2 linked regions of the Struthio camelus genome follow. The protein of the gene in region 1 purifies or fractionates together with the protein of each later gene. This does not show direct contact. Links are inferred from orthologs where the notes say so. Each region holds a gene or a part of one and is shown in the gene's direction. Other genes may lie near its edges.

Region 1 (10,238 bases):
TTTACTTGCAACAGCATCTTGGCTCCATTACAAACACGTTAGCATGACTCCTTAATTGAAAAAAAAAAAAAAAAAACTGGATCTAATAGGCTTTAAAAAGGATAGCTTGATTTTTCCTTTAACAAGAAATGATTTTCTGAAGATGCTATGCAAAAGTAAAAACAAGTTCAAGCACCACCAAATTTATAAAATAAGCAAAAGAGCTGTCTGCCTTGGTTAGTTTTACTTACAGGTTTTCAATTTTTACTATAAGCATACATCAGAGAAAAAAATTTGGAAACTAATGATTGCATTGCTGGCCTTAGCACTGGCTAGCCGTAGCTTTAGATCCTCTAATGCAATGAGATTCCTTCTCAAATATTTTGCTTCTGCAAACACAGTAAGTTTCTCAAAATATATTCTGCGTATTAACAAAAAGTACTTTTTGAATGAACATATTAAGAATAAAGGCACCCTCAAACTTTCTTAATACAAAATTAAACTACCTAGAGGCATCTTCTATCTTGCCAAAACACAGAAAGTGATCAGAACGTAAGCCTCTGTAAACCAGTGAATTACTTTTCACATCAACCACACAGCAAGATCCATTCTGCCTCTTGCAACAGTAGCAACATCATCTGGGAATTGTTCTATGAGGACAACAGATCATTAACCATTTGCTGAGAGAAGCATCGGATTCACCATTGCCACGTCTTCAAATGAAATCCAAAAGATACGAGGAGGAAAAAAAACCCTATCCCAGCAGCACAACTCGAAATCCTCCAGCTTTTGTTATTCAGGTCACCGTAGGTGACCTAGCAGTCCCCTTCACACCTTCAGACAAATTCCAAGTCTGCAAAGAGGTGCAAAGGAGGACTAAAAACATGCCGCTTGTGACGTGTCCTACTGATCTGGATTCCAGCGTTATCTGTATGCATTCTGGCATATTAGCTACGCAACACGAAGCAGTACTGAATGAACCGATGAGTGGTAGCAGTTTGTCAGACGACTTACTGATATGAAGAAGCGTACATATACCTTGAGGGATTAAGCATGCCTCATTTCAGTGCTGATTTTTTAAAGCCGTGTCAGAGGTGCAGCAGAAGGTTACCTTCTTGCCACGGGGAATGTCAGCAGTCTGGCAGCATGTGTGGCAGTGGTTTCCAGGACTTCATGTGGGGCAGTGATTGCATTGTCTCAGAAGAAATCCTAAGGGGTAGGTAAAGGGGGTTGGTAACACTGCTGCTTCACAAGGAGGAGGCTCAGCAGCCGTAGTGCTACTCCTGATCTAAGCCCGAGCTTTTCCTTAACAAAGGACATATTACACATTGTCCTGCAGCACACCTGTGCTCTGTAAGCAGAGACACATTCTATTCATTCACAATTCTGATATCAGAAGTATTATCTCAATATTATGATAATACTGATCCCATACCCCCCAAAATTTAATAAGAGGTGGGGGGGGGGCGGGGAAGAAGGGGCATCTAGAAGAAAGCAGAGCTCCATCTCTCCCATGGCACTGCTCCCTAGCTGATTTGATTTCACAGGAGACGAATCAGGGACCCGTTCCTGGATAAATTTGGCCAACAGTGGAAGTGGCAGAATTTGGCAAGTCTAACCCCATCATTTCCCTCCCACTTCCTTCTGGAATACACCCCCCACTCTCCAGCCTGTATATGCTGGGATTCATATGCAGGCAGCTCTGCTTTGGAGCTTTGCTGGGAAGGGCGAGGACTGCCACTGGCACAGGGAGAAGGGGCATGGGGAAGAAAAGAAATACTGCTCAAGCATGGGGTGGGGAGGAAAAAGCCTGGAGGTGAGCTATGAGAAATGGTACAGGCAGTAGAGACTCTTGCGAGAGAAGTGGGAGGAGGTAGAGTCACGGCAGTGACAGGTAGATTAGCATGAGCGTCTAATAACGTTGGCATTTCTTAGCAGGATATACATTTAAAAAATGCAACAGTAAAATGCTATTAGCATATCACTCAGTTTGCAACATCTGGGCACAAGTTTAAGGTGGTAGTTACAGCTCCTTTGGGGGCTAGGACATACACTTGGAAACACAGAAATTTCTCCTCCATTTCAGGACAGCCTTAACCCCATGCTGAGAAAGCCTCAGGACATTCTATCGCTTTGGGTTATATACAGTTTCTCATCACCCCTGTGACCTCAGCCCATCTCTAATCCCACTGTTTGGTTCCTTGGCAAGTTACTCCAGCGAGGCCACTGCCCATCCATCTGACTTTCCCATACAGCCTATGTTTCCACCATCCGTGTTCTTCCTAGGAATACATACAGATTAAATAACTCTGGCACAAGAATCAGCAGAGTCAGCAGGGTATTCTTCTGAGGATTCCTTCAACTTCTCAAGCCGCTCTCTACTGTGCAATGTTTTGATCTAACTCCAATTGCTCAGAGCTTCCTTCCTTCATGGGTTTACTCGAATACCTCGAGTTACCTATTGCTCTGAACTTAGCCCTCACCATCCATCTCCATCCCTCCTCACCACTCTACGTGTCTGGGGAGGTAAAGGGCTGCATTTAACATGAGGACCAATTAGATGCTAGCAATGTAGAGATCCATTAGTGGAGCGGAGATGGGGCTTACACATTTATTTGTAGCACTGGAAGCTCAGAGGTGAAGAGGCCTGCTCTTTTCAAGGAGAGTTCCACCATGAAATGAAGAGAGCTTGCTAAGATTAACACATGAACTTGAAAAAAACATGCCTGGCTAACACTTACATCGGTAGATGTCTCCCATCCTCCCAATGCACATAAGCAGAGAAAATTGCGCCTTTCAAAGCATCAGCATCCCCCCTGCCCCCGCAACAGATGAAGGGCATAAATCAAAGTGAGGGAAAGGGATTTTCTTGTTCCTATGGAAAGGGAAGGCCATGTAGACCCCGAGTCATAAAAGTGAGGAGACATGGATCCTATTCCAAAGGGTAAGAAACCCCAGTTTTCGATTTCTATTCGGGGTGCTGTGCTACAGAACCCTAAAAGGTAGCCACTTTTCTCCCTTTTGATCACACAGCCCATTGTTCAAGAATTAGGATTATGTCACTGCGTTGCCCTTCATCTTGCTCCTAAACAATGCTGATTTCTTTCAGAAAAGCTAAGCAGCACTAGAACCACACAAGTATTTTGGACTACTTTAAAATACTGTTTTTAAACAAGATGTCTTAGTTTCAGTGCAGAACTCCTGCAGGAGTTCCTCCGGAATGCAGCATGAACTTGCATTCTTGAGAAAAGGCTGGCATAGGGATAGGGATACTGCTGCTGTTCCGTGACCAGTCGTTTTGAAAGCCTGTCTGAAAAATCATTTTGATGAAGTCACGCTGCACACACGCATTACAATCTTTGACCCAGACTTAAATTCCAAAGTGAGATTTTTCAGCTGGCTCTTCAACACGACATACTCAAAGGGTGCCACAGCAGTAGAGAAATTCTGAGCAATCCAGGTCAGTTGGGGAACAGCTGGTCATCTGTGCAAAAAGAGGCTCCTAAAACGGTGGCTTTATTTCAGATTCTCTCTCACGAGCCTCCTGCTTAGATCGCCCTAAGTTTGGGCTGCCTAGTGAATGCTCCCAAAGGACAGGAATTTTCAAATAACCAAAGCAAGGCAGAAGCATCTGGAGCTCTTCCAATGATCAATCCTAAGTCTCACAAAGCTGCGCTCTACTATCAGCAATTTTTAAATTGATGAAAAACTCATAAATCCTTGCGACAGCACTCAGTGAATGAAGCTTTGCTAAATGGGATGAGAACGCTGTTCTTTGAGCAGGAATTAGCAAATTCCTTAGGTTTCATTTCACCGCAAGGCATTATCACAGAGCTGTTGAGCATCAGCTGGCTAAAGGGTTTTATTAATAAAAAAAAATTGTGGCAAATCAGACTATAAAACTGATTTATGGAGATCAAGATGCCCATGAGCGATGCCAAGTCACTCATGACATTGACATATCTCAGTTACTTGTACAATGGGAGACAGCAAGTCTTAATAAAGTCTCTAGCACTGCAACGATTACAGCCACATTACATACTTTAAAGACTGTTTAAAAAAAAACATTTAGAAACAGAATGGTAATAACTAGAGAGCTAAGCACTCTGCTCATCTGTAAATCGAATCCGAGTTCATCCTTCTTGTGCTGAGCACATCCCAGCTCTCCACTCCATGCACATTAAGCAGTAAGTGGCAGAAATTGCTTAACTTGTTCCAATTTTTAAGCTAACTACAGTGTCGTGAGGCAGCTGAGTCTACTTGATACAGCCACCAAATGCGGGTGCAGCAGCTGCACTGGAGAGATAGGGAGAAATCAGAGCCGCCAGGCGATTGGACAGTGGTGATGGGGAAGGAGAAGGCTAGTCTGGGCACAGAACAAAGACTGCCATTTCCATTCCCTATTTAGGCTCATCAAAAGCATGAAACAAGCTCTAATACGGATTTCCAGAGTAGAAATGCAAAGAGATCACAAATCACGCCTCGCAGGGGCTCCAGCAGACGCTACCTGGAAAACCCCAGTCTTCACCGTTCTCTCGGGTCCCCTCTTCCCCCAGGGACGAAAAGGGGGAACACGACCGTACCTTGCTTATCAAAAAGAAAGTTCTAGGTTTGTGCTTAATCCAGGCTAAGCACGGAGGAGGGGGAGGGCGCTAAACAGAGATTAAATAATAGAAATATCTCGGTAACCCCCCCACCACCGAGGGAGGCGGGGCGCATCTCACCCGGGGCCGCTCCCCGGGGGCCCTCGGCGCTCGCAGCCCCGGGCAGGGCGGCCAAGAGGGGTCAGCGGCGGCCGGGCCCCCCCCCCCGCCCTGCCCGCCGCCCCCCCGGCCGCGGTACCTGCCGTGAGGAGCTGCATGGCGTGCGTGAAGGACGGGTCGAGGCTGTCCTTCTCGGCCATCAACTCCGGCAGGTATTTGTTCTCGGGCTCCATCTTGACGGCGGCCCCCGGCAGCAGCGGGGTGGGGGCGGCGGCGGGGGCCTGGGCGGCCGAGGCGGCCGCTGTGGCGCTGGGCGGTAGGAGCGGCGGCGGCTGCGCCCCGGTGGCGGCGGCGCCTCGGCCCCCCCCACCTCCTCCTCCTCCTCCTCCGCCGCCACCTCCTCCTCCTCCTCCTCCGCGGGGCGGCCGCCGCGGGGGGGGCGCCCCTTGCCGGGCGCCGCCGGGGCCCGGCCCCCGGCCCAGGCGGGCGGCGGGGTCGTCACGGCGCTGCATGCGGGCGGCGGGGGGCGGCGGCGGGCGCGGAGCGGGCCGAGCGCGGCGCTGCCACACCGTCCGCCGCGGCGCCACGGCCGGAAGTGAGGGGCCGGAAGGACCGCCCCCCCCTTCTGCCGCTCTCTCCCTCCCTCCCTCTCCCTCTCTCTCACTCCCCCCCCCCGCACTTCCCCGCCCCCCCCCACTCCGCCGCAGCTCCCGCGCGACCACCCCGCGCGCCTCTGCGCCTGCGCCGGCACGCAGCCGCGCGCCACCCCCCTCCCCACCCCGCCCCGCCCCGCCGCGCTCCTCACGGCCCGCCCCCTGGGCCGCGCGTGCGCCGCCCGCCGCCCGCGGGAACGAGGCGCGCTCTTGGGACGCATGCGCAGTGCCGGGCCCGCGAAAGCGGAAAGCGACACGTGGGGAGCGACGGCCGCCCCGCTGCCCTGACTGCGCATGCGCAGATGCAGCGGTGTGACATTAGTCACCAGCTGCCGAGAAACTTATCCCGCAGGGGATTCACAGCGCCTGCGTGTATGTGTGTATATGTGTGTGTGTGTGTGGGGGGGGGGAAGGTCTGTGTTGCGCATGCGCAGTGGCTGCCCGCTCGAGAACAAAGCGGCTGGCGCGCATGCGCCCTGTGGCTGTGCGTCTCTGTGGAGATAGGCGTGAGGTGCGAGGCGTGTCGTAGGCCCTGGGGTGGCGGAGGGGCTCCGGCCCGGGCTGCGGCCCGAGAGTGACGGCGGGGCAGTGCCTTGGGCAGCGCAAAGTGCCTGGGCCTCGGTGGGCGTGGTGAGCGGGGCACAGCCTGCTTTGGGAGTTGGGTCCTTGGCCTACCTGCCCCTGCAGCCGTGTGCTGTGGTATGAGGCCTCAGCAGTGCCTGTGTGGGAGCTGAGCCTTCCCCTGCCTGCCTGGGGCCTTGGCAGCACCTGTGTGGGAGCTGAGCCTTCCCCTGCCTGCCCCTGTGGCCCTGTGCTGCAGTATGGGGCCTTGGCAGCACCTGTGTGGGAGCTGAGCTTTCCCCTGCCTGCCCTCATGGCCCTGTGCTGTGGTACGGGGCCTCAGCAGTGCCTGTGTGGGAGCTGAGCCTTCCCCTGCCTGCCCTCATGGCCCTGTGCTGCCGTACGGGGCCTCGGCAGGGCCCATATGGGAGCTGAGCCCCTGGCCTACCCATCCTGGTAGCCCTGTGCTGGGCTTGAAGAGAGTACTTGCCTCCTTCATGGGAGCTGGTTGTTGTCGTGCAGGGCTGGAGAGGGAGTAAAAGCTCTCGTATGAACTAGCATTGTCAGAAGTTTAGAAACTCCAGTTAGAGTTGCTGGGGTGGAGTTAATGAGGAAAGGATTATCTGTACCATCCTGAAACCCAGCAAAGAAGAACTGAACGCTTTTTTTTTCCAGTCAGGATGATCACACGTGTGAAGGCCCCTTGGGTGCAGAGATTCTGTTGCTGTGGTTTTTTGGAGGCAGCTTTTACTTAACTAGCATGCAGGACCTATCTCAGGCGCTGCAACCCCTTAAGTTAGTATCAGATGTGGCTTTTGTTTATTAATAGATTGACATTCATAGCTCAAGAACATAGCAGGAAGACTTACCAGCTTTTACAATTCTTGAAATTACACATCTACTTCAGCCTGTTAAGGAAGCATGGCAAACTCATTTTATCTCTGGCTGTCTTGTGATAGATCACTCTCTGCAGCAGCCTTCTCTGTACGTTGTTGGAGCTGATGTGCGTGGACAGACGTAGCCTCCGACATCATCAGGTAACACAGCCTGAATCTCGTTCTGTCTCTCTTGCCTCCAGGGTGCTGTTTCGGAACAGCTCCACTGAACCTGTGCAACCCTGTCACTTTGTAGTGAATGGCTGTGCAGCTTGTGAACATAAAGCCCTGCCTGTGTAAGGGAGCTGCCGCCACTGACGGCTTTAGAGCAGTGTGGGTCCCTGCCATGTGCAGGTGCAGATCTCGGTGCCTGTTCTGTTCCTTCCTTCTCAGTTCTCTTTCACATATTGTCTCTTTTTCTTCATCCCAGTTGTACATCTTTATGTCATTCTTATAAATTTTCAACAAGATTCTCTTTCCCTGCCTGCCTTCCCTGTCCCATCCAAACACACAGCTGCCAGCTGCTTCGCTTGTAAATGCCATGGGACCTTCCGAGAGCTGGGATGTGTTAGCTCTGCTCCTGGTAAAGGGCTGTCATCACCCCAGGGCTTCCACCTGCTGCCTCAGTCAGGCTCCCAGAGCACGTGTAGCTCACATCTTCCTATGACCAGCCCCTTTGCTATGCTGGTGCTGCTATGGAAGGCAGCTGTCATTAGCTGTTTACATTTGACCCGTTCCTCCAAGAACTTTGGGAGTGAGGGGGAGGAGAAAGGTGCATTTGGCTCCTTTAGAGTTTTAATTTTTAGAGGAAGGTTGCCTGATGGGGCCCTGGACTTGGAATCAGGAGATCTGGGACCAGTTTCCAGCTCTGCTGAGGCTTCCTGAGTGAAGCTGGACACTTTGCGTAACCATTCAGTTCCCCATCTGTAAATTTAAGTTACTTCTACCTTCTTTCTCTTCTACTTGGATTGTCCAAATCTGCTCAGGGTGCCCAGGGGCTGAGACATTCCTTCCTTACAGGGAAGGAGAATGGGGAATAGAACAGAGATGGGTCTAGTTTGGGCCTGAGTGCATGGCCACCCCTGCTCTGTCTTCCGCGTGTCTGTTCTCCTGTGGGTATCTTAGGAGAGCAGCTGATAAAAGCTTATGTGGATGTGATTGCTTCTGCAGTTATTCCCTGCTGCTGAGATGACAGGGTCGTTAATCAGCTAGGTCTTTGAGAGAATGCCTTTGTTTTGCTGCAGAAGAGGAAGAGGCCCGGCGGGCCTGGAGCTCTAGACATTGTGCATTATGCAAATGGGTGTGCGTCACGGAGCCACCGATGTGTGCTCAGGCGAGGGGCCCTGAGGAGGGTTTGCTGCTGGAGCTGAGAACAGAAGAACTCTTGTTCCAGCTCTCGCTGGTGCCACTTCCAGTGCAGCCGCCCACTTGTTCAGCTGGACCAGAGGCAGCAGTGATGCCAGCGGGAATGGGCTGCCTCTCCTGTGTCTGTCCTTTGCTCCAGCATTTTTATCTCAGCTGGCAGGAAAGGAAGTGTTAGTCCCTGGCTCCAAATGAAGGTACTTCTTGTTACAGTGGATTAATAAATGCTAGCTAGCCTCTGAGACGCTAACCCTGCTATTCTTAGGGAGCTTTACGAGCCTCGGTGATTTCCATCCCATGGCTAAATATTTCCGCCTCCTGGGAGATTGGAGCAGTCCCAGGCCCAGCCCTGTGCGATGTCCTGATGCCCTCTAGTGGGGTCTGGCACGCCATTGGGGCAGGCTGCTGCAGGCCCAGGGTCCCCTTGCAGCCACGCTCTATCAACAGGGCACTTTTAGGGGAGAAAACGTCACCCTCTGCTCAGGAAAATCTAGCTTCTTGCCTGGCAACACAGCCCTTCTCTGCGCTCGGCAGTGCATCTTGACTAAGGGGTTCTCTGTGCTGGCCCTGTGTAGCATTTTGTTACCCTGTCTAGGACTGGCGTGTTTTGAATGGTCTTTCTGACTCTCAGCAGGCTGATGACAGGCACAGAAAGTGTTTTCCTGGCAGGATGAGGAAGCCAGGCCTCACCTGGGGAAGGAGGTGCTGAAGCCCTGTTGCACAAACACTGCGCACAGAAGCCATGTACTACTACATGGAGTCACACGCGCACTGATAAAACTGCATGATGTCAGGAAGGGTTAAGCTCAGGGTATGATGCAGCCTGGTGCCGTCTGGTTAGTACCAGACGGGGTGTCACCTTTGGTTACTTAATGCCACGTGGCCGGGACAGGCCCTCGCCAAGTGCAAGGCTTCCTGCTCTGGATGGCTCCAAGCCAGGCGCAGAGCCCAGGCTGTGAGAAGGGTCAGGATCCTGCTCAGACCAAACTCTGAGTCACTGGTATCCGGCGCTCCACCCGCCCGCAGGGAAGCGGATCAATGGGTCATTCATTGATTTTTGTTTCACCGTGTGCAGGGTCAGGGCTGCCCTGGCCATGTGAACCTGCTCCTGGCTCCCGGCTGTGCCGCCCTGCCCCGGGCGCCCCGAGCAAGCTGGGCATCTGCTCGCCTTCCTGGGTCACTTTGTTCTTTCATGTTTCTGCCCTACTCGAGCGGTGCTGCGGTGTCAACGGAGAACACAGACGCCGCCGTCTGGATTGCGCTTCGCAGACAAAATGCAAAGCGGGCACATGCCTGTGGACGTCTGTTGGGCAACCTCACCCCGGGGACGACATCGGCAGCCCCGACCAAAGCCTGGCGACGGGGACACGGCTTCAGATCCTGCCTTTGTCCCGCCGCCCTTAAACGTCCCTAGCAGCACGGGAACGCTCCATTTGAAAAAAGAGACAGAAACGCTTATGTCTCTCCAGGCGATTGTTCTGGGTTGCCCGCAGTCCAGAAACGGTGACGTTTGCAGGGTTTTTGCCATAAGCTCCCCTCCCTCCTACTCTCCCCCCAAAAATAACGAAACGGAGTCGCTCTTCGCTGACCGGCACAAACCCGGCGGCCGCTCCTCCCCGGCGGCAGCTCCCGGCCGCTGCGCGTTGGGTACTTCCGTGCCGCGGCGGCGGAGGCGGCCTGCCGGGCCCCGAGGGGCGGCGGAAGCGGAAGCCGTGGGAACCGCCGGGGGGGGCAACCATTGCGGCTGGGTGGGGGGAGCGGGCTGTACCATTGCGCGGCGGCGGGGGGGGAGGGTGCTGGCGTGGAAGGGCCCGTGCGCACGTGGGGTCGAAGAAGGGAAGCGCGGGGGGGATGCTGCTCGTTGGGGCTCGGGGCGGGGCCGCCCCGGCAGCGCTGTGCGGGGCTCGGCGCCGGGCCGGACCGGAGGGGGCCGGGCGAGCCACCCCCGAGCGCCCCATCCGCTTTCGGGAGAGCTGCAGCCCTGCCCGAGCGGGGGCGCTAGCGTGGGGGAGCGGGTTGTACCAATGAGACCTCAGTCGCGGGGGGGGGGGAAGACTGTTCCAACACCGGCAGGGGCGAGGGAGCGAGTCCTCTGTGCCACGGGG
Region 2 (9,490 bases), on another chromosome or scaffold:
TGTCCTTGGCCGCCCATGCCACACTCAACAGGCAGCTGGCGAGCAGCACAGTCCCAGTTAGCCTTTCTAGCTCACCTCCTGCTGCTTCTCCTCGTTTGGGTAGGTGTCCACAAACACTCCCAGGCCCAGGAAGTTGTCCTTGCTTCCAAAGACAGGTCCTAGAAGGAAAGACAGGTTATGAGTAACAGCAGCAAAGCTAGGAAGGGTTTGCTTGTCTGTCCCTTCATGCTGTTCTCCACATCAGATAACAAGGCAGGTGCTTTCCAGACTGCACGGGGAGGGATTTACCCTCAGGTCACGTTACTCTGCAGAAAACCCATATGCAAGTCTTATTTTAAAAATCTTTCTATTTATCTTTGTATGGGGGATCACCAGGGAGGGCTCTTTCCTCCCCAGCCTTCACCCGCTTCTGTAAGATGGAGCCACATCGTACCACAGAACAAGGCTTCAAACGCCAGAGAGCAGAGCCAGGCGCTACAGAGCTCCATGCAGCCTTGAACCGTTAAGAAAGGACACAGACCCCCTGTGCTACAGGAAAGCCAGAAGGGTCCTACCCTTTGCTGGACCAGAATTCAGCTTCCTACCCAATCTGGTGTTCAAAGAGCTGACTCCCAGAGCAGGAGGCCCCACAGCTCCCATTACACTGCTCTGCGTCTCATAGTGAGATCACAGCAAAACAATCCCAAAGCTGGCAACTGCCGAGCTGATGACTCCAGTCTCCCAGGACCCTGTAAATCTCCAGTCCGGAGACCTGAGGTTCAGAGGCAGCATCAGGCGCAGCCACGGCTACCGGCAGTGTTTTTACCTGGTTGCATGCGGTCTTTGGTGTACCAGATGGCAAAGCCATCTCCGTTCAGGTTTTTCTTGCCTTGCCCGTGGATTTTAAAATGGACTTGCATCTCCCAGTCGCGGAGGTAACACGGCTGCAAGAGAAGGAATGAGCCTGTGAAATTAGGGTGCCCCGAGTGCCAAGGGACCCTCAGGAACCCGCTGCTCTTGCAGCTGAGGGTCAGGCTCTGGCGGGGACGGATGGCTGCAGCTGGCTGCACTATCCCCTGCCCACCACGACAAAAGGCAGCGGCTGCCTGCAGCTCTACGCGGCTTCAGATCAGAGAGTTAATGCTCCCCATTTCCCTTGCCAACAGACCACTGTTGTCCTGTATTTGGGATGTGAGCAAGAATAATTAATCCCCAAAGGCGTCATTAAGCCGAGGGAATTGGTTGTTACCCAGGGCTATAAAAAGCCAAGAAACCAATTCTTATCTCATACTATTCTGAAACAGCAGCAACTCCAGCAAAATCAATACCTCACACCAGGGAAAAGGAGGCTAGAATGAGCCTAAGGAGCAGCTTCAATTTTGTAATTGCAGATGAGCCAATTATTTTCTGAGCTACAAACGAATCGCCTACGCTAACAGGCACAAAACATGAGGAGTTCATAACAGATTCACTCACACGACGTTACAAAGCCGGTTGCTAGCTTCGTTCTGAAACTCGTATAAGCCACAACATTTCATGGGAGCCATAAACCCAAGTGAAAAACCTCCCGCAATATTTTATAACAATAAAAGTTGAGCATCCCAGACTACGTCTGGTCTTGTGAAACGTTTTCCAAACCACTCCAGAATGTCTAAGCGATCTCACGTGTGCCATCTGAAAGCACTTCGCTGCTATTGAATTTATATAGGGAAGGACAGAGCGATGCCCAAGCCGGGAGACACCACTCAACGTCGGACCGCCCTCAGACACAGCCTCAACAAGCCAGCCCGTTCCCATAGGTTCACGGCAGAAGTCAGAGCAAACTCCTGACGACTCGGAGGGCATTCAGGCTAGAGATGGGCTCTTAACGGACACGTTTCCGTATACCCCAGTAGTGCTATGACACCGACACAAATAGGGAGGCAGAACCAGCCACGCAAGGTGGGGTAAGCCTGCACTTACCGCCAGACGCCAGGGCGCAAAAAAGCACCGGTCTAAAGCCCAAAGTAAACACCAACCCAAACTATCAAGTTGTTAGACAGACCCTTGCTATCCGTCAGCCACAGGGAGGCAGCTCAAGGCCTCAGCGAAGCACACAACGGCAGCTACAAGAGCAGACATTAACAGCGAGGTTACAAGCCCTTGAGGCAAGGGAAGCGCAAGAAAGTCATGATCTCACATGTCTTTCTCCGTTGCTAAATAAGAGCTGATTGTGGACAGGGCTGGGAGACAAGAGCGAAGTCCCAGCGGCCGGGGTTTGCGACCACGGCTTAGCAATCACACCCAGGGCTGGAATCCATCACGCACACTTGTGAGCTACGTGCAGAGCCCCTGCTACGGGAGCGCAGGCCCAACGAGATGACCTTGTCCTTCTGCCCTCTGAGCTGCAATCCTTTGCGTGCCCAGGCCACAAGGGTCACTTGGCCACTCTGCAGCCAAAGCAAGCAGCTTCCCGGGCTGGGAGAGCCAGGCCACTGCACAAGGATCCCTGCTGGCACCTACATGGCCAAACATGCGGCTTCGCCAGAGCCTGCCCGCCATGGCAAGGTGCCTCCATTACTGGCATTGCTTCAAATCCCAGAGCGCAGCAAAGCAGGCAGTCGGAGTGCTCCAGCCACAGCCGTCGGAGAGAGGCACCCCCAAATTCATGTGCAGGGGGAACAGCCCATGATACGCTCCCCTCTCCACTGCAGCCCCTCAGCCGAGTCACCCCGGCTGGGACGAGGGGCTCAGCCCTTGCCAGAGGCAGGAGTCGCCGAGCCAAAGGCTGGAGACTGAGCTGAGGAACTACTGGCACCCCCCAGGCCCCTACGCTTCCCCAGCCCCCTACATCTCAGGGCAGATCCCATGACCCCCCAACCCCCCACAGCCCAGTCCAACTCCCCTCAGCACCTCAGACCCCCACATCGCCCTGGCCCAAACACCCAGCTATCCCGTGCCCCCGCAGCCCCCCAAGCCACCCCACCCCGTATCTCCCTCCCCACAAATCTCCTGGCTCCAGACCCCTACTCCCCCTCACTGCTCCAGCACTGTGCAGACCCTCCCTCCAGCCCCCCTCACTCCCCCCAGCCCAAACCCTCTTCCCCATACCCCTCAGATCCCCTCCCTATAGCCCCCAGACAGACCAGCCCCCCCACACCCCCCACCAGCCCAGCCTCCCCACTCTCCTAGCCCGGTCCCCCTGGACCCCCCACCCCCGGGCCCCCCTCCTCCATCCCATTCCCCTCCATATCCCCCCCAGCTCCCCCCCACCACCTTCCCCCCCCAATGTCCCAGACCCTCCCCAACTCCCCCCTTCCTCCACTCCCCCCCCACCCCAGTCTCCCTGCCCAGGCCCCCCACCCGCAGGCCCCCGCGGCCCGGCCCCGCTCCCCCTCGCCCCCCGCCGGTACCGGCGCTCACCACGCGGTTCCAGACGGCGCCCCGCTTGCTCTGCACGTCGGGGGTGAGGCGGATGTACTGGGTCGTGACCATGGCGTTGCCCAGCAGGTCCCAGAGCCCCGAGCTGGCCGAGCCCACGCCTGCCGGCCCACGCACACGGTCAGCACCGGCCGCCCCGCCGCCGCCGCCGCCGCTACCGGCGCCCCGCTCACCCTGGTACGGCTTGGACAGCGAGTGCTCCCGCTTGAGGTGCTCCTCCGTCTGCTCGGCCCGCGGCCCGCCCAGCCGCAGCGCCAACACCAGCAGCGCCAGCCCTGCCCGCCGCCGGCCCGCCGCCGCCATCGCCGCCGCCATCTTCCCTCCGGTGCCCGCGCCGCGCGCCGCGCGCCCCGCCCCTCCCGCGCCGCTATTGGCTGCTCCGCCCCCCCCGCGCCGCCATTGGCTGCCCTACCCCCCGCCGCTCGCCGGTTGGCAGCGCCGCGCATCAGTCCGGGAGCGGGCGCGCGGGGGGTGACGGGGGATGTAGTGCGGCCAGCGGTGGGGGGGAGGGCGCGCGCGCGGAACCCGCCTGCCCGGGAGGGGGCCGGCGGCGGCGCTCAGGATGGGTCCGTGCTGCCGCGGGGTCTCCCGGCCCCTAGGCCGGGCCTGCCCCCTTCTGAGCCCTAGTTCCCCTTCCCGTGGCTCCTGCCCTCCCTAGTCCAACCTGCCCCCCCCAAAACAGGCTCTGCTTCCCCCGGTCCTAGTGCCCCCTCTCCTCCGCCACCTGCCTCCCCAAACAGGCTCCCCCAGGTCCTAGTGCCTCCCTTCTGCAAACCCTAGGTCTTAGTGCCCCCCCCATCTGCCTCTTACGCCCCCCAAAACAGGCTCTGCACCCCCAGGTCCTAGTGCCCCCCCCCGCAACCTGCCTCCCCAAACAGGCTCTGCTCCCCCAGGTCCTAGTGCCCCCCCCCCGCAACCTGCCTCCCCAAACAGGCTCTGCTCCCCCAGGTCCTAGTGCCCCCCCCCGCAACCTGCCTCCCCAAAACAGGCTCTGCTCCCCCAGGTCCTAGTGCCCCCCCCCGCAACCTGCCTCCCCAAAACAGGCTCTGCTCCCCCAGGTCCTAGTGCCCCCCCCCGCAACCTGCCTCCCCAAACAGGCTCTGCTCCCCCAGGTCCTAGTGCCCCCCAACCTGCCTCCTGCCCCCTCTCAAACCGACTCTGCACCCCCAGGTCCTAGTGCCCTGCCTCCTGCTCCCTTGCCCCAGTCCTACTGTCCTCCCCCCCCGTCCTACCTGCCCCGGGTGCTGCCCCCGGGGTGCAGGGGCCCTGGCAGGCCGCGGCAGTGCCGGAGCCGCTCCCCGGGGCGCTGCCCTGCCCCTCCCGGCGCCGCACGCTGCTGGGGCGACCTTCACCCCGCGGGGACGGGGCCTGGGACGGGCCACCCCCGCCCGGGGACTGGGCCAGACCGGCTGCGCCCCGCGGGCTGGGACTCCCGGCACGGCGGGGTGACACCGCCGAGTGCCACCCCCTTTCCCTAAGGGACACTGCCAAGTGTCGCCACCTCCACATGACCCCCATCCCACCAGGGACCACCCAAGTGCCACCCCCCCCACCCAAGGGACACCCCATGGGACCCCCCCCACACACACCCGGGGGCCACCCCCTTTCCCTAGCAGCTACCCCCAAGTGTCACTTCCCCACCTGCCACTCCTTCGCCACCCTCGTGTGCCACCCCCCCACCCAAGGGACACCCCGTGTGACCCCCCCCAACTTAGGAGACACCAACGTGCCACCCGCCTCCCCTCTCCGTGCGCGCCCTCCCCCACCACCCCAGGCGCGGCCCCTTTAAGGCGGGGGAGGGGGCGTGGCCCCGCCCAGCCGGAGGAGGGGGCGCGGCGCGGTGGGTGACGCGCGGCGGGGGGGGCGTGGCGCGGCGGCCGGGGGGGGCGTGGCGCGGCGGGTGACGCGGCCCGCGAGCGCGGCGGGCGGCTAGTGCGCGCGGCGCCCGCCAGACGCTAACATGGCGCCGGGCGGCGGCGGCTGGCGGCGGCGGCGCGGCGGCGGAGGCGGCGGAGGAGGCGGCGGCGGCGGGGTCGGTCCCGACGCTGCGGGCGGCGGCGGCGCGGCGGCGCCTCCCCTGCTGCCGCCGCTGCTGCTGCTTCTAGCGCTGCCCGGCGGCGCGGCGCCGGCGGGCGACAGCCTCATCCTGGGCATGAGGCTGGAGGAGAGCACGAAGCCGGCGGCGGGGGCGCCGGCCCGCGGGCCCATCCGCGTCACGGAGGGCAGCGAGGTGCTGCTGCGCCTCTACGGGCTGGGCCTGGGGCCCCGCACCGGCGAGCGCGTGGCCTTCGCCGAGCTGCGGCCCGCCGCCGCCAACGCCTCGGCGCCCAACGGCACCTGCCCCGAGCGCTCGCAGGACCTGGTGGTGCAGCCGGGCCCCGCCGAGGCTCGCAACACCTCGGCCCTGCTCCGCGTCCGTGTCCAGCCCCTGCGCAAGGACGAGCAGGCCAAGACCTACGTGCTCTGCACCCAACGCCGGCCCGGCCAACCCTGGCTGCCTCACCAGGGTCCCGACGGCCGCATCGTGGTGCTGGAGGAGAAGAAGTCGTTGCTGCCCCTCTGGCTCCAGGTGATCCTCATCGCCGGGCTCCTGGTGCTCTCGGGCATGTTCAGCGGGCTCAACCTGGGCCTCATGGCGCTGGACCCCATGGAGCTGCGCATCGTGCAGAACTGCGGCACCGACAAGGAGAAGCGCTACGCCCGCAAGATCGAGCCCATCCGGCGCAAGGGCAACTACCTGCTCTGCTCCCTGCTGCTGGGCAACGTGCTGGTCAACACCACCCTCACCATCCTCCTCGACGACCTCATCGGCTCCGGCATCGGCGCCGTCGTCGCCTCCACCATCGGCATCGTCATCTTCGGCGAGATCGTGCCCCAGGCGCTCTGTTCCCGCCACGGTCTGGCCGTGGGCGCCAACACCATCGTGGTCACCAAGTTCTTCATGCTGGTGACGTTCCCCCTCTCCTTCCCCATCAGCAAGCTGCTGGACTGCATCCTGGGCCAGGAGATCGGTACTGTCTACAATCGGGAGAAGCTGGTGGAGATGCTGAAGGTGACGGAGCCATACAATGACCTGGTGAGGGAGGAGCTCAACATGATCCAGGGAGCCCTGGAGCTACGGACCAAGACAGTGGAGGATGTGATGACCCCCCTGCACAACTGTTTCATGATCAACAGCGACGCCATCCTGGATTTCAACACCATGTCGGAGATCATGGAGAGCGGCTTCACCCGCATCCCCGTCTACGAGGACGAGCGCTCCAACATCATGGACATCCTTTACGTCAAGGACCTGGCGTTCGTCGACCCTGACGACTGCACCCCGCTCAAGACCATCACAAAGTTTTACAACCACCCCGTGCACGTCGTCTTCCACGACACCAAGCTGGACGCCATGCTGGAGGAGTTCAAAAAGGGTGAGAGGGCTGGGCGCTGGCCGGGTGGGTGCCGCTCGCCGGACTGCTCCGCTCGGGCTGGGCTGGGCCGCTGGCTTGTTCCCACAGCAACATCTCCGGCTCCGGTCGGAGGAGGCTCTTAACGAGGCTTAGATGCCGGAAGCAAAACTTTCGGCTGAATGTCTCTGGCGGCGCTCCAGGGCCGGAGCCGCCTGCGCTTGGCGCGCGGTGACAGCCCAGGGGGCTTCCTCGGGGCCGAGCTCCGGGCTCTGCTGGCTTTGGGCGTTGGGAGACAGAGGGGATGAGGTGTCTGTGCACGCACCGCTGTGCTGTGCCGCTGGGGACGGGCAGGAACCGGGGCGGCAGCTCGGCCTCGGTGCTTGCAACGGGCCGTGTTTCCGGGGTCCGAGCTGTAACGGCCCTGCACCTGGGTCGGGGAGGGACAGAGCCTCTATTTTACCATCGGCAGGGCACGCTCTGCTTAATGCCAGCCCCTAGAAACACTTTGAGGCTGTTGACTCGCTTCTGGTTCCTAATTAGCAGCCCCGGAGGCCCTTCAATGGCTCCTGGCAAATCGCTCCGATCCCTGGCTCGGGCTTTGCTCCCTCCTCTGGGCCCTTTCCAGGCGCTGGGAACGGCGAGCTGGGCTCGCTGCCGGCCCCGATCACAGCGCTTCCTGCCCCACCTTGCGCTCGGGCACCCAAAACCAGGAGCGGCTAGGGGGCAGGAGGGGCTGGAAGGCCCGTTGGGGCTGCCTCGCCGGTGGGAGCAGGGCCAGGACCGGTGGGAGGCTCCTCTCGTCGGCCCCGGCGCTGCCGGGAGCGAGAGAAGGCCGCGTTAATTCGGAGGCAGGTTTTGAAGGCCCGAGGTCTCCGCTTGGCCTTTGCACCACCATGTTTGCACCGTGCGCCTTCTCTTCGCCCGGGAGTGAGGAGAAAACCCGCACCAGCCAGGAGACCGTCCCTCCTTCCCGAGCTTCTTGCAGCTGCTGCCAGGCCGGTTTGGGTCACCCAGCCTCTCTGCCGGCACACGCTGGGGCCCCAGCTGCCTCGGGGGGTGTTGGCAGCCGACCTGCCTGCTGCTCGCGGCCCGAAACAGGGCTCAGCCATGCCCAGAGCGTTACGCAGCGACGGCTGTTGGCTGGGAGGGTGGGCAGCCGCGGTCCAGGCCGCAGTGGCTGATCACGGCAGAGGTGAGGATCCGTGCGGTGCCGGCTGCGAGACCTGCCTGCCTTGGGGACGGGATAAGTAACCCGGCTTGGGAACAGCTGTGCCGGGCGATGCCAGGCCTCAGCCGTGTGTGACCCTGGTGTCTCCTCTGTCTCCCGTTACATCTGCACAGGGAAGGTTTGGTCCCACTGCGGGAGGTCTGCTGGGCTCGGGGCAGCGCGGAGGAGGTCAGTACCAGCTCCCTGCCGCAGCAGTGGGTTGAGGTGAAGGTAGGCTTCAGGCCAGCGTTGCCTGCTGGGTTTGAGCCCCTGCCTCCAGGGGTGGTTTCCAGTCTGGACTCAGCCGGTTCCAGCCAAGAAACTGCATGCTCCTCGGATTTAGGAGGTCTAACAATTCTTCCTGCAGCCAGAGCTTTGCTCGAGCAAGGATTTGGGAGTGACCTGGTAGACCCAAGCCAGGCTGATCTTTGAGCCCAGCAGAGAGCTGAGAGTTTACGAGGTGGCCTCCCTGGTGACACTGGACACGTGCTCAGGCCGCAGCAAGTTATAGGCTCTGTTTCTGTCTTCCCTGAAACTTTTGTGATCGTGCTGCCCCGAACCCAAAAATTTCAACTTGGGAATAACGCCACCGGATCATGGGTCGGTGTTGTTTGTGGTTGGAACTGTGACGGGATCTCATCGTCTTCGAGCCTCCAACTTTCATTCCTGATTAATGAAAACCTTCTTGGCAAATGCTTTTGCTTTAGTTCATCTTGCGCTGGTTCAAGAATTTCACCCCAAGCAGCACAATACGAATGCGTACGGCTGTCTCTCTTAATCCTGGCCCCATTTCTAAAAACCAACAAAACAGAACCGGAGTCCTATTCTGTCTCTCTGCTGTTGGAGCTGGAGTTACCACGGCTGCTGGCACCAGCCTTTCCCTCTGATGAATCCTTGTGAAAGGATTTAAAGCCTGCTCATTCCAATTACAAGGCCTCGAATATCCCGTATTGTTATTTTTTGTCACTTCTTCTCTGGTTTGAGAGTGGGTAATTTGTGGGCCTGCTGTCTTCCTCGGATGTGGTAGCTGTTTCTGAGGTCCCTTTTTGGGACCGAACACTGATTTCCCGTTACTCACAGTCACCGTGGATGTAGTACCACCCGCAGCGAGTACCAGATCATGGCGAGTCTGTGCCTCATCCCACTGGTTGGGACTCAAAGTGAGCAGGAGCTGCGCCGAAGCTAAGGCTGCCTCTCTGGGTGACTCTGGTCCCCTCCGCGGCATGTCACAGCCCTGATGGCTGTTGTGCGGGAACCTCTAGGGTTGTTTTGGGGAGGTTCAGGGCTTGGAGTTGCCTCGACAGCTCCCTCCAGCTCCCCAAATCCATCCCTAGGGACTGTGTGGTTTGGGTCAGGTTGTTTCTGGAAGGTGGGCTGAATTCCTTGGCCTCAGGAAGGTTCACCTCTGGCACTGGATGAGCTTCATGAGGAAATACCAGGACTGGGTTCGAGCAAAGCAAAAGGTGAAGGAGGCAAAAAATCAACCAGC

The links. The genes of interacting proteins can lie anywhere in the genome.
Region 2: the proteins of PTP4A2 (region 1) and CNNM4 purify together in Homo sapiens (affinity purification with mass spectrometry; 6 studies listed by BioGRID and IntAct, counting the BioPlex papers as one, with this or other methods). This does not show direct contact. The link is inferred for Struthio camelus from reciprocal best matches to the Homo sapiens genes PTP4A2 and CNNM4.

What each region holds. Positions count from the first base shown.
Region 1 is NC_090964.1:8,673,195-8,683,432, forward strand, and holds the start of PTP4A2 (protein tyrosine phosphatase type IVA 2), read left to right. Parts: upstream 1-5,536; 5' UTR 5,537-5,707; intron 5,708-5,746; exon of another isoform or gene 5,747-5,965; intron 5,966-6,855; 5' UTR 6,856-6,933; intron 6,934-10,238. Other genes in the region: KHDRBS1 (KH domain-containing, RNA-binding, signal transduction-associated protein 1), read right to left, coding at 4,822-4,915.
Region 2 is NC_090968.1:1,291,901-1,301,390, forward strand, and holds the start of CNNM4 (metal transporter CNNM4), read left to right. Parts: upstream 1-5,359; coding exon 5,360-6,815; intron 6,816-9,490. Other genes in the region: LMAN2L (VIP36-like protein), read right to left, coding at 76-158, 806-923, 3,382-3,500, 3,573-3,714. UniProt on the Homo sapiens protein: Probable metal transporter. The interaction with the metal ion chaperone COX11 suggests that it may play a role in sensory neuron functions. May play a role in biomineralization and retinal function.